Drosophila melanogaster: one gene and its partner. The protein of the gene in region 2 interacts with the protein of the main gene of each other region in a pairwise test. Each region holds a gene or a part of one and is shown on either strand. Other genes may lie near its edges. The genes, in order: CG10139 and eIF2Bdelta.

Region 1 (3,610 bases), 8.7 Mb from region 2:
TTTCGCATTTCGCATTTCCCAGTTGCCATTTGTGGCCCGCTGCCCTGTTATGTGGTAATTAAAATGACTCTTGGCCCATCTCCGACGCGTTTTTGGACAGCTTTTTACTGCCACTCAGCCGATGCGTCGTATATGCGTAATGTCTGGCTAAATTATTAATTTACTATGGCCCCGAACGAGTGTTGTTAATTAATTTGTATGCAAATGCCGGAAAATCGAGACTGGGTGGTGCTTGAGCCGGAACGAGTGGCTGATCCGCTTCAATGAATCGCTTCAAATGCTGACCAGCAAATCCCATTACCATTGAGTGGATGACGATGGTTGTGGTTTATTAATTGATACGAAATAATTATGGTTAGGTAGGTGAGAAGTTGGTCTGAAATGATCTGCGGATGGTTTTTATCTATTTGTTTGTCTCGCGACTTCATTGTGGACGGCAGTCCACTTAGTGACGAAGGGCACCAGTTAAATGTCTCTGCTGGTGACTCACGTTTTCATCTCTTGTAGGTTTATTACAATCCCAAACCTTCGAAGCTAATATTTTCAACATCCTGAATGCAAGGTGCACACTAAGCTGTACTGCGGTTAGTCTGTACGCTTTTACCTTTGCTGGATTGTTTGCACTGCGGCAACGGGGCGTGTGATTAATTTTAGCCGGAATAGCCGACAAAAACCCTTTCATTCATTCCGCTCCTTTGTCACAATAAAATTGGGGAGAAGGGTAGGGCAAACAAGAGCATATAATAAAAACAGTAAACATTTAATTGCCTGACAAATATTTGCCCTTCGCCCCAGCACCAAAAAAGGGGTTTAGGGCCAAGTTTCGAGAGCTCGACAAATAGGCGCTGATGAAAAACTTTAATAGTAAAACTTCCCCATTCGGCTTATGCTTTCATTTCTCCTTCTTCTTCTCCCATTTCTCCGCCTTTTCCCCCCAACTTTTCTCTTATGCATTATCGGCATACGCTGCTCATATAACTTTGCTCGTCGGCTGCCGTTGAAAGTTTTGCGCAGCTTGACAAAATTTTCAGAGCTATGCGATGGTCGCTATATATGCAAAAATCTTAAGCGAAGTATCGATTTTGCCGCCGGCTAAAAATTATTTACAAACGAATGAACTTTTAAAGGAGCCAACTCCAATTGAGTGGGTTGTCTGCGGTTCAGTTTTGTTTGTCTGCCAGCTCGAGAGTCCTTTGCCAATGCCCGGAAGCCCTACTACAAAGGACATCGCATGGCGGGTGAATTCTCCCTAATAAAATAAAAAAAAGGCACACAATATTTGGTAGGAATTGAAAGAATGCAAAATGAAAAAAAAATGGTTCAAAAAACCGGTGTCCCGTATTCTTAAATTTTTGTATAAAATTAAGATTATAAAGATTATTCGATTATTTTGATTTTTTAACTATACTACTACTTGAATTAAATTATTCAAAAAAACATTTGATCGCGGCTTATCGATAAGCTGATTACTGTGCTATCGATAGGTCATGATCAGTAAGTAGCTGCACACGATAGCAAGAATTCATCTAGAGATGACAATGTGGCCAGATCAGCTAATTTATTGGTAATATCTAGCTAAATTCGAGCCATTAGATAAATTTAATATTCGCCTGTTCACTAAAAATATTCCTAATATATTAGTGAAATAAAACAAAACAAAAAATGTACCAATATATATATCAAATTAATAATGCAATTAATAATTATTATATTGTATATAATAAAATTGTAAATAAATATCGTACTCATGCTATTATTGAACCTGGCTATCTATAAGCGTCACGAAAAGCACACAGGCGCACTGTGGCGTTTTAGCTTTTTTAAAGCTTTCTTCGCCCTGCGTAAGACAGCTTTTTTTCTGTACAGCTAGAAACAGCTTTTTTGCTGCCAGCAAACTGGCAACACTGGCGGCAGGCGTCACTACTCTCATTGTTATTGTCATCACTATTGCATTGACATTGTTGCTGTACGTCGTGTTTTAATTAATTTCCATTGCGCTTTTTTGTCGAATTATGAAAATTTACAAGCAGAAACTGCGCGATGTGTGGCTGCAAATGGAGGAGTTTCGTGCGTGGCTGCGGCGTGATCCGGACGACTCCTACCGGGCGCACTGCCGCTTCTGCAAATGCTGCGTAAACACCAAAATAAGCGATCTGCGTGCACATGCGTCGACCAAGAAGCATATGAAGCACTTAAACCTTAAACAGCAAATCGTAAGTGTGCACAGTTTGTCATCAATCCCGCCTAATTTGGATCTATCACCTTTCCAGAAAACCACAGACGACAGCCCCTTAAACAGGTCATCCGCCAGCAGCTCCAGCACCACTCCCTACAAGGTCAAGGTGAAGTCGCAGCCAAAAACTTCCCCGGTAAAAAAGGAAAAAATCAGTGCATCGGATCAGTCCGTCGACTACGAGGAAATCATTGAGAACCTGGCACTTTACGAACCAGAGCAGGTCATGTTCTCATCGTGCTCCCTGACCGGCGGCGGCGAGCAAAGGCTAGAGGACGACGTTGAAGGCGAGGGCGAGATGTCCACCATCAGCATTATGGACGAGGAAATGGTCAACAAGGCAGTGGCCAATGCTCTGCGCACCCAGAAGGACAGCTCCCAGATCTTCGGAGACTTTGTGGCCGACCGGCTACGACAGTTGAACACCGACGCCTCCGAGTTTGCCAAGGACAAGATAATGAAGGTGATATTGGAGGCAGCGTCCATCGATCGGGCTCCCACTTATAATTAAAATATTAGTTTTTAGTATTGACTATAGTTTGAATAAAACATGAACTGTACAATTATGATTAATTAAATATGCAACATTTTTGCTAACCTGGGAGGCTTACTTCTATTCGAAATTTGTAAGGAAAAAAAATTGTAAATTTGTAAAAAAAAATCATTTTATTATTTAGTAAATTTTGGATACATTTTTATTATTACTTTGAAACACCTTAATTTTGTATTATTAGTAAATATTTTTAAAGAGAACCAACTGCACTATGTATAAATGGTTCTTCATTTTGAATAAAAATTTATTTCAGAACTTTTCGTTTTTAAAAAGTTCTATACAAAAAATGTAGTAAATTATTTTGAGATTATTAATTATAATTTTCAAAAAAATGTTGCACCATAGAACATGGATTTTTTTCGAAATTCATATCATGTATTTAACATAAAATATTTTGAAGGAAACTAAAGCAGGCGCAAAAGGGGGCACGCAGATAAATTGCTAAAACTTTTGCTCGGCAAGTTCATTGGCCATGCATTAGTTATTTAACAATTCAGCATTTTACCCTTTACGCTTTAAGCATTAATCTCGCTGGCATTCTGCTTTTAGCCCATTTTTTTTTTGTTGCGGATCAAAGTTTTACTAGAAAGTAATTTAAACTTTTGCTTTTACCCGGCGAGTGGCTGGTTAGATTTTTACATTTTCCATTCAGCTCGAACTGAGGCGTTCGTTCCACTCAATAAACGCCAGACGCAAATTTTGTTTAACACTTTTTGCCTATTGGCATTGTAAAATGGGAATAAAATGCGAAGAAGAAGATCTAGAAGTGGGTATGGGGCTCGATTGTCTTTTGCATAAGCCGCTTAGGTGCTTACTTTGATTTC
Region 2 (5,308 bases):
CGCTGAGCGCGGAACAATCCAGTCCGCCGCAGGCGCTGCCCGAGGAGATCAACTCCGTGGCCGTAGACTGGAAGCCCATGCGCAACGTAACCACCTGCTCCTGCTCCACGCCCTTCGATCAGTTCAGCAAAAAGGTGGGTAACTCCGCGTACTTAAGCAAGCCTGCCACTGATGATGATCCAATCCTCGAATAGACTCACTGCTGGCGCTGCGGGGACATCTTCTGCGAGCGCTGCATAGACAAGAACGTGGCTCTGCCAGGACACGACAGTGGAAAGCCGGTGCCGGTGTGCCGGGGCTGCTTCCGGCAAATGCAAAAGCAAAGCCCGTAGAGGCAAGGCAGGCAGGATCGAGGAATGGAGCGGAGCTAGGGTGTGCAATCGATATGGAAACGCTATTAAATTTATTGTGTGTATTTATTGTTGCATTTGTAGACTTAGCTGCTTGTAGAAGCTCATTCAAGTTGTTGCAAATGGAAATCAAAAGAGCAAAACCAAATCAATCCACCAGCGATTGGCTTCCAGGCATCGTCCTAGTCTATAAGCCGGGCACAAAACTGTATTTTGTTATTAGAATCTAGAGCTACATATTTGCTAATCCCAGCCCCACCCGCACGGAAAGTACAATTGCATGTCAGAGCGCAGACTTGCTCTTGATCAAAATATTTATAATTTCCGAGGAACTCGGCGGTCTGCCGGATGTACAGACACTTGGGCCTAGCCCTCCTTCGCAGCAGCGGTCCCTGGCATCAAGCATATTCCACTAGCATACCCGTAAATTATGAACTACGCATCAATCTTGTTTGTCGATTTGATCAAAGTGTAATAAAACTTATTTATTCAACAACTGCGAGTTCTACTGAGCGATCGATGAAGTCTGATTAGTAGCCAATGTCTGGCTTGATGCGGAGTATGACGGGAACACTGGTGCAGGGCAGGATGGCCACCTCGGTGACCACGGCACTCACCAGCTCCGGCGGAGTAATGTCGTAGCTCAGGTTGAGCGGCAACAGCTTTCCCTTGGCCGCCCAGTTGCTTAGCTGGCACTTGTCGCCGCGCACCAGTTGGTTGGGATCGCTCAGCTCGTTGTAGACGATGGCGTCCGTCTGGAAGCGCTCGCTGAACTTGTGCGTCTCGCAGCACACGAGCACCGGCACGTTGTGGGCATTGGCCACCAGGGCCACCTGGGCGGTGCCCGTTCGCGCCATCACGTATCCGTTGGCCAGCAGGGCGTGTGCTCCCAGCAGCACCTTCGTGGCCTCCGCCATCACATAGCCCACGGCGTTGATCAGCACGTAGGTGCACGGGATTCCGGTGGCGTGCAGTCGGCGCAGCAGCTCCTGGCCTTCGCATCCGGGTCGCGAATCGACGACAATCACGCGGAAGGCCACCTGGCGCCGCTTGGCCTCCTCGCAGATGAACTGAATGAGGGAGGAACAGGCGAAGGTCAGCAGCACGTCGCCATCGGTGATCTTTTCCTGCAGAAAACCGCTGATCGCTTGGGCCGCCTTGCCGATTTGATTTTCAATGTAAGTATCGATGAAGTGGACGAGCAGCTCCTTCGACTGTTGAGCAAATGCATGTTACCAATTGAGTTAAAAAAATATATTTTGATTCTTACCTCCGTTTCGGGAACATCCGCCGGCAGCTGTGTCAGTTGGTTCTTGAATTGTTTGTACGCATTGGACACGGACACGGCCAGCGGTCGGCACTTGTGCAGGTGGTCTACGTGGTGCTTCACGGCGGCGTCCAGGCTGCGACCAAACTCCTTCTTGGCGGGCGTCTCAAAGTCGTGGACAACCTGGCGCAGGGCGTGCAGGAAGGCAATGCATCGAGCATTGGACCCCACCACCGTGCGCTTGGCGTACTGAACACCCAAGCGCGCAATGCTCGGATGAACGAGTGGATCGTTGATGAACTGGCTGTCTTCCTTGGCGCACACCAGATGGTTGAACAGCTTCACCCGGCAGTCTACATTGGGCGTGCTGGCTGGACATTTGACGGGGGAACTGCTGGTGGCCGCTGTGGTGGGGGAAACGCTCTTCCGGTTCGGCCCTTTGGGAGCTGCGCTGGGTGGTGCCTTGGCTGCATGCTGGGCCTTTTTAGTCTGTACCTGGGCCTTGGCTGCCCGTTGGGCTTCTTGGATAGCGCGACGCTCCGCTTTGCTAAGAGCTGGCTTTTTCTGTGCAAGGTGAGGTGAGATGTATATGAAGCAAGGAAATCATAAATGTAGCAAGTTACCTTTTCCTGGTCCGCTTCTGTTGTCGAAGGTGCAGCACTGGCTGCGACTGGAGCTTTTTCTGCTACTTTCAGGTCAGCGAGCTGTTGTGCGATGCCCTCTACCTTGGCTCCCCCGCCTTTGCCAGCTTTCTTGGCTGCCTTCTTGGCCTCGCGTTCCGCCTTGATCTGCTCGCGTGTCTTTTCACCCGCCTCCGCATCCTTGCCATTTACCGCAGCTGGCTGAGTCGTCTTTGAAGCCACTGCATCCTGCACCTTTGTTGTGGTGGTGGTCGTCAGCTTAGTGGTAATGGTGGTCTGCTCCACTTCAGTGATGATTTTGGTGGCCGGAGCAGAGGGAGTGGTCAGAACAGCAGGAGTGGCGGCAGTAGGAGTCGGTGCAGTTTTCTGTTTCTTGGCCTGCTTAGCCAGCTTCTTCGCCTCCCGCTCGGCCATTATCTGGTCACGAGTCTTCTCCGTGGCCAATGGATCCACAGCATTTCCGGGCATTGCACTCGTGGCGTCGATGGCTGATGTTTCTTGTGTCGTTGAATGGCTGTCTTCCAGGCGATTTCGTTTGTTGCGCGGTCGATTGCGTTGCCTTTGCTTCTTGTGCTTGCTCTTCAAAGTCTGGGCGTCAGTCCCAGTCCAGATAGGGAGTACGGAATTAGTTATTGATGTAACAATATGTAAAACTATCAAACTGTTTGGATCAAATACGAAATCAAATCGGCCGACATGCTAAATCAAAACTAAATTTGGGAAACTCGCTACTTGGCAAATTAGTTACTAAGAGGCAAGCTAGCTACCTGTGGCACCTGTTCGCTAGTTAAAACCATTTTGAAAGCTTGAAAAGAGAGAGACATGGCAATTAAGGTGAAAAAGGATGTGAAAAGGTTAAAAAAGGTTCAGACTCCTGTGGCGGTGCAATTAAGATCCAAGCTGAATCCTGCGTCTATGGGTAAGCACGAATGCTGGCTTATAGCACCTAAGCAGTGTGCTTGCTGTCTTTACCTTACGATTCTATATTATTATTCGGGAAAAGTAACTCGAAAGTTTTGCTCACGATGGCAAAAAAACGTCCACCAGTTGATAGCGATGTAAGTGAATCGATAACCGTCTTGATTCGCCGCGGTAAACACATGGCCGGCCTTGCCAGACTCGCTAGCAGCCAGTGTCATTTTTGGTGCTTTCCTCGCCGCACGAGTTGGCATTCCCATAGCTGTCTTTTATTTGTGAGGTTCGTATGTTCGTCTGCCGCCTCCGAAAATTACATAATTTTTGCGTAAATTGATTTCGTTTAATTCGACCCTCCACAGCTGCGAATTCCACGACTACCATGGCCGACAAAGCTGCTGCCGAGAAACCCGCTGGACGCCCCATGCGCTACCCATACACTTTCTCCGCGAAGATAGCCCAATTCCCCATCAAGCACTACATCAAGAACCAATGGATCTGGCGCTACTACTTCATTGCGGCCGTGGCCTGCGTGCCCGTGTTCTACAAGATCAGCAAGCTGGGTGCGTAACACTCGCCTCGCGACCTCTGGGCCCCTTGTACTAATGCACTTCTCCCTCCTGCCCATTTTCAGCCAACTCGCCCGAGAACAAGAAGGCATGGGCCGAATCGCAGGCCAAGGAGCACGCCGAGCACCACTAGGCGGCCAGTAACTTAGTCTTAATTGTCGCATCAACATTTCAGAGCTGTTTGTGTCGGACCCAACGTGAAATCGGCGAATAAATGATTTGAAACGAGGTTAAACTTGATTCTTATTGGAGAGTGCACTGCAACATCCAAATACGGTCTTATTATGCGGCTATGACACCACCTATGAGTTGAGTTCGGTCACACTAATGATTTGTTATATGAAACACAAATTAAGTTGCTTGTTACTATTAAAATTCATAACTAGCAGCATTTAATTGGATTTATTAAAGAATAGATTAAATTATATTCCACAACTGATCGCGATGAATATTCGTTTACCCAGATAACTGCATTTCGAAGGGTTAATCGAGAAGCTAAGCAGGAAAAATATTCAAGTTCAAATTTGTATAAGTAGTTGGCGCAAGACAAAGCATCACAGGGGTCTAATTTTTGGTAGTGAGTTGGAATTTCCCCAGATTCGTAAATAAAATAAAAATAAAAAAGTACTGAGAGCACTCATTAAAACAAAACACTGATTCCTATCATATCCGTTTCCGTTGACGGTCATAAAGAGTGTACTGTTATCAGCTGGTCAACATAAAATTCCTCAAAAATTACCTCAAACTCGACTAAGCTTGCCAGTCGCTCCATTACCGCGAAAAGATGAAGTTCATCGCAGCTGGATTAGCTCTTCTGGTCTGCTCCATCCAGTTGGGTGAAGGAGCACCTGGTCACCTGCTAGACTCCAGTTGTGGCACGACAAAACCAGAATTTATCCCAATGATCACCGGGGGCGCAGACGCAGGCCTATTCTCAAATCCATGGATGGTGAAGGTGCTAGGCGAGAAACTATGTGGTGGCTCGCTAATCACCAGTCGTAAGTATTCAAATGTGGCCCACGAATGAGTTCTTTGTCCAGTCACCTGCTGCTAATACTTTCAGGCTTCGTTCTCACGGCCGCCCATTGCATCGTTAGTACACACATGTAAGTGAGGCAGCACTGTCTTTCGGCGAACACTTACGAATTCCCATTTCCACAGGAGAGTACGCTTGGGCGAGTATAAAACCCGCTTTCCTGGCAAGGATTGCTCGCGCTGCGTGCCCAAGTCATATAAACTCAGGAGAATACGCTTGGGCGAGTATGACACCCGCTTTCCTGGCAAGGATTGCTGCGTGCCCAAGTCATATGAACTCGCTGTGGATAGAAAGATTTTGCATGCGGATTATAACCTAAACTTGGACAACGACATCGGCCTGTTGCGCATGAAGAGCTTCGTCCAGTACTCAGGTAATGAGGTGGATCCAGCAGCCAGGGCTCCCTAAGCAGTGGACATATCTTTCAGACTACGTCCGGCCGATCTGTCTCCTGGTCGAGGGACACATGGCGGAAAGTCCCATCTTCAACATCACCGGCTGGGGTGTCACCAACGATGGCACGCCCAGCC

Evidence for each region.
Region 1: the proteins of eIF2Bdelta (region 2) and CG10139 interact in a two-hybrid assay, tested with the Drosophila melanogaster proteins (one large-scale study listed by BioGRID).

The regions. Positions count from the first base shown.
Region 1 is NT_033778.4:14,643,344-14,646,953, forward strand, and holds CG10139 (uncharacterized protein), read left to right. Parts: upstream 1-1,926; 5' UTR 1,927-2,012; coding exon 2,013-2,213; intron 2,214-2,270; coding exon 2,271-2,744; 3' UTR 2,745-2,808; downstream 2,809-3,610.
Region 2 is NT_033778.4:23,384,545-23,389,852, reverse strand, and holds eIF2Bdelta (eukaryotic translation initiation factor 2B subunit delta), read right to left. Parts: upstream 3,333-5,308; 5' UTR 3,231-3,332; intron 3,064-3,230; 5' UTR 3,056-3,063; coding exon 3,026-3,055; intron 2,950-3,025; exon of another isoform or gene 2,847-2,949; coding exon 2,241-2,846; intron 2,182-2,240; coding exon 1,621-2,181; intron 1,565-1,620; coding exon 881-1,564; 3' UTR 801-880; downstream 1-800. Other genes in the region: Mtmr6 (myotubularin related protein 6), read left to right, coding at 1-134, 195-332; roh (reduction of Rh1), read left to right, coding at 3,556-3,736, 3,808-3,875; CG30414 (uncharacterized protein), read left to right, coding at 4,527-4,740, 4,806-4,848, 4,904-5,151, 5,207-5,308.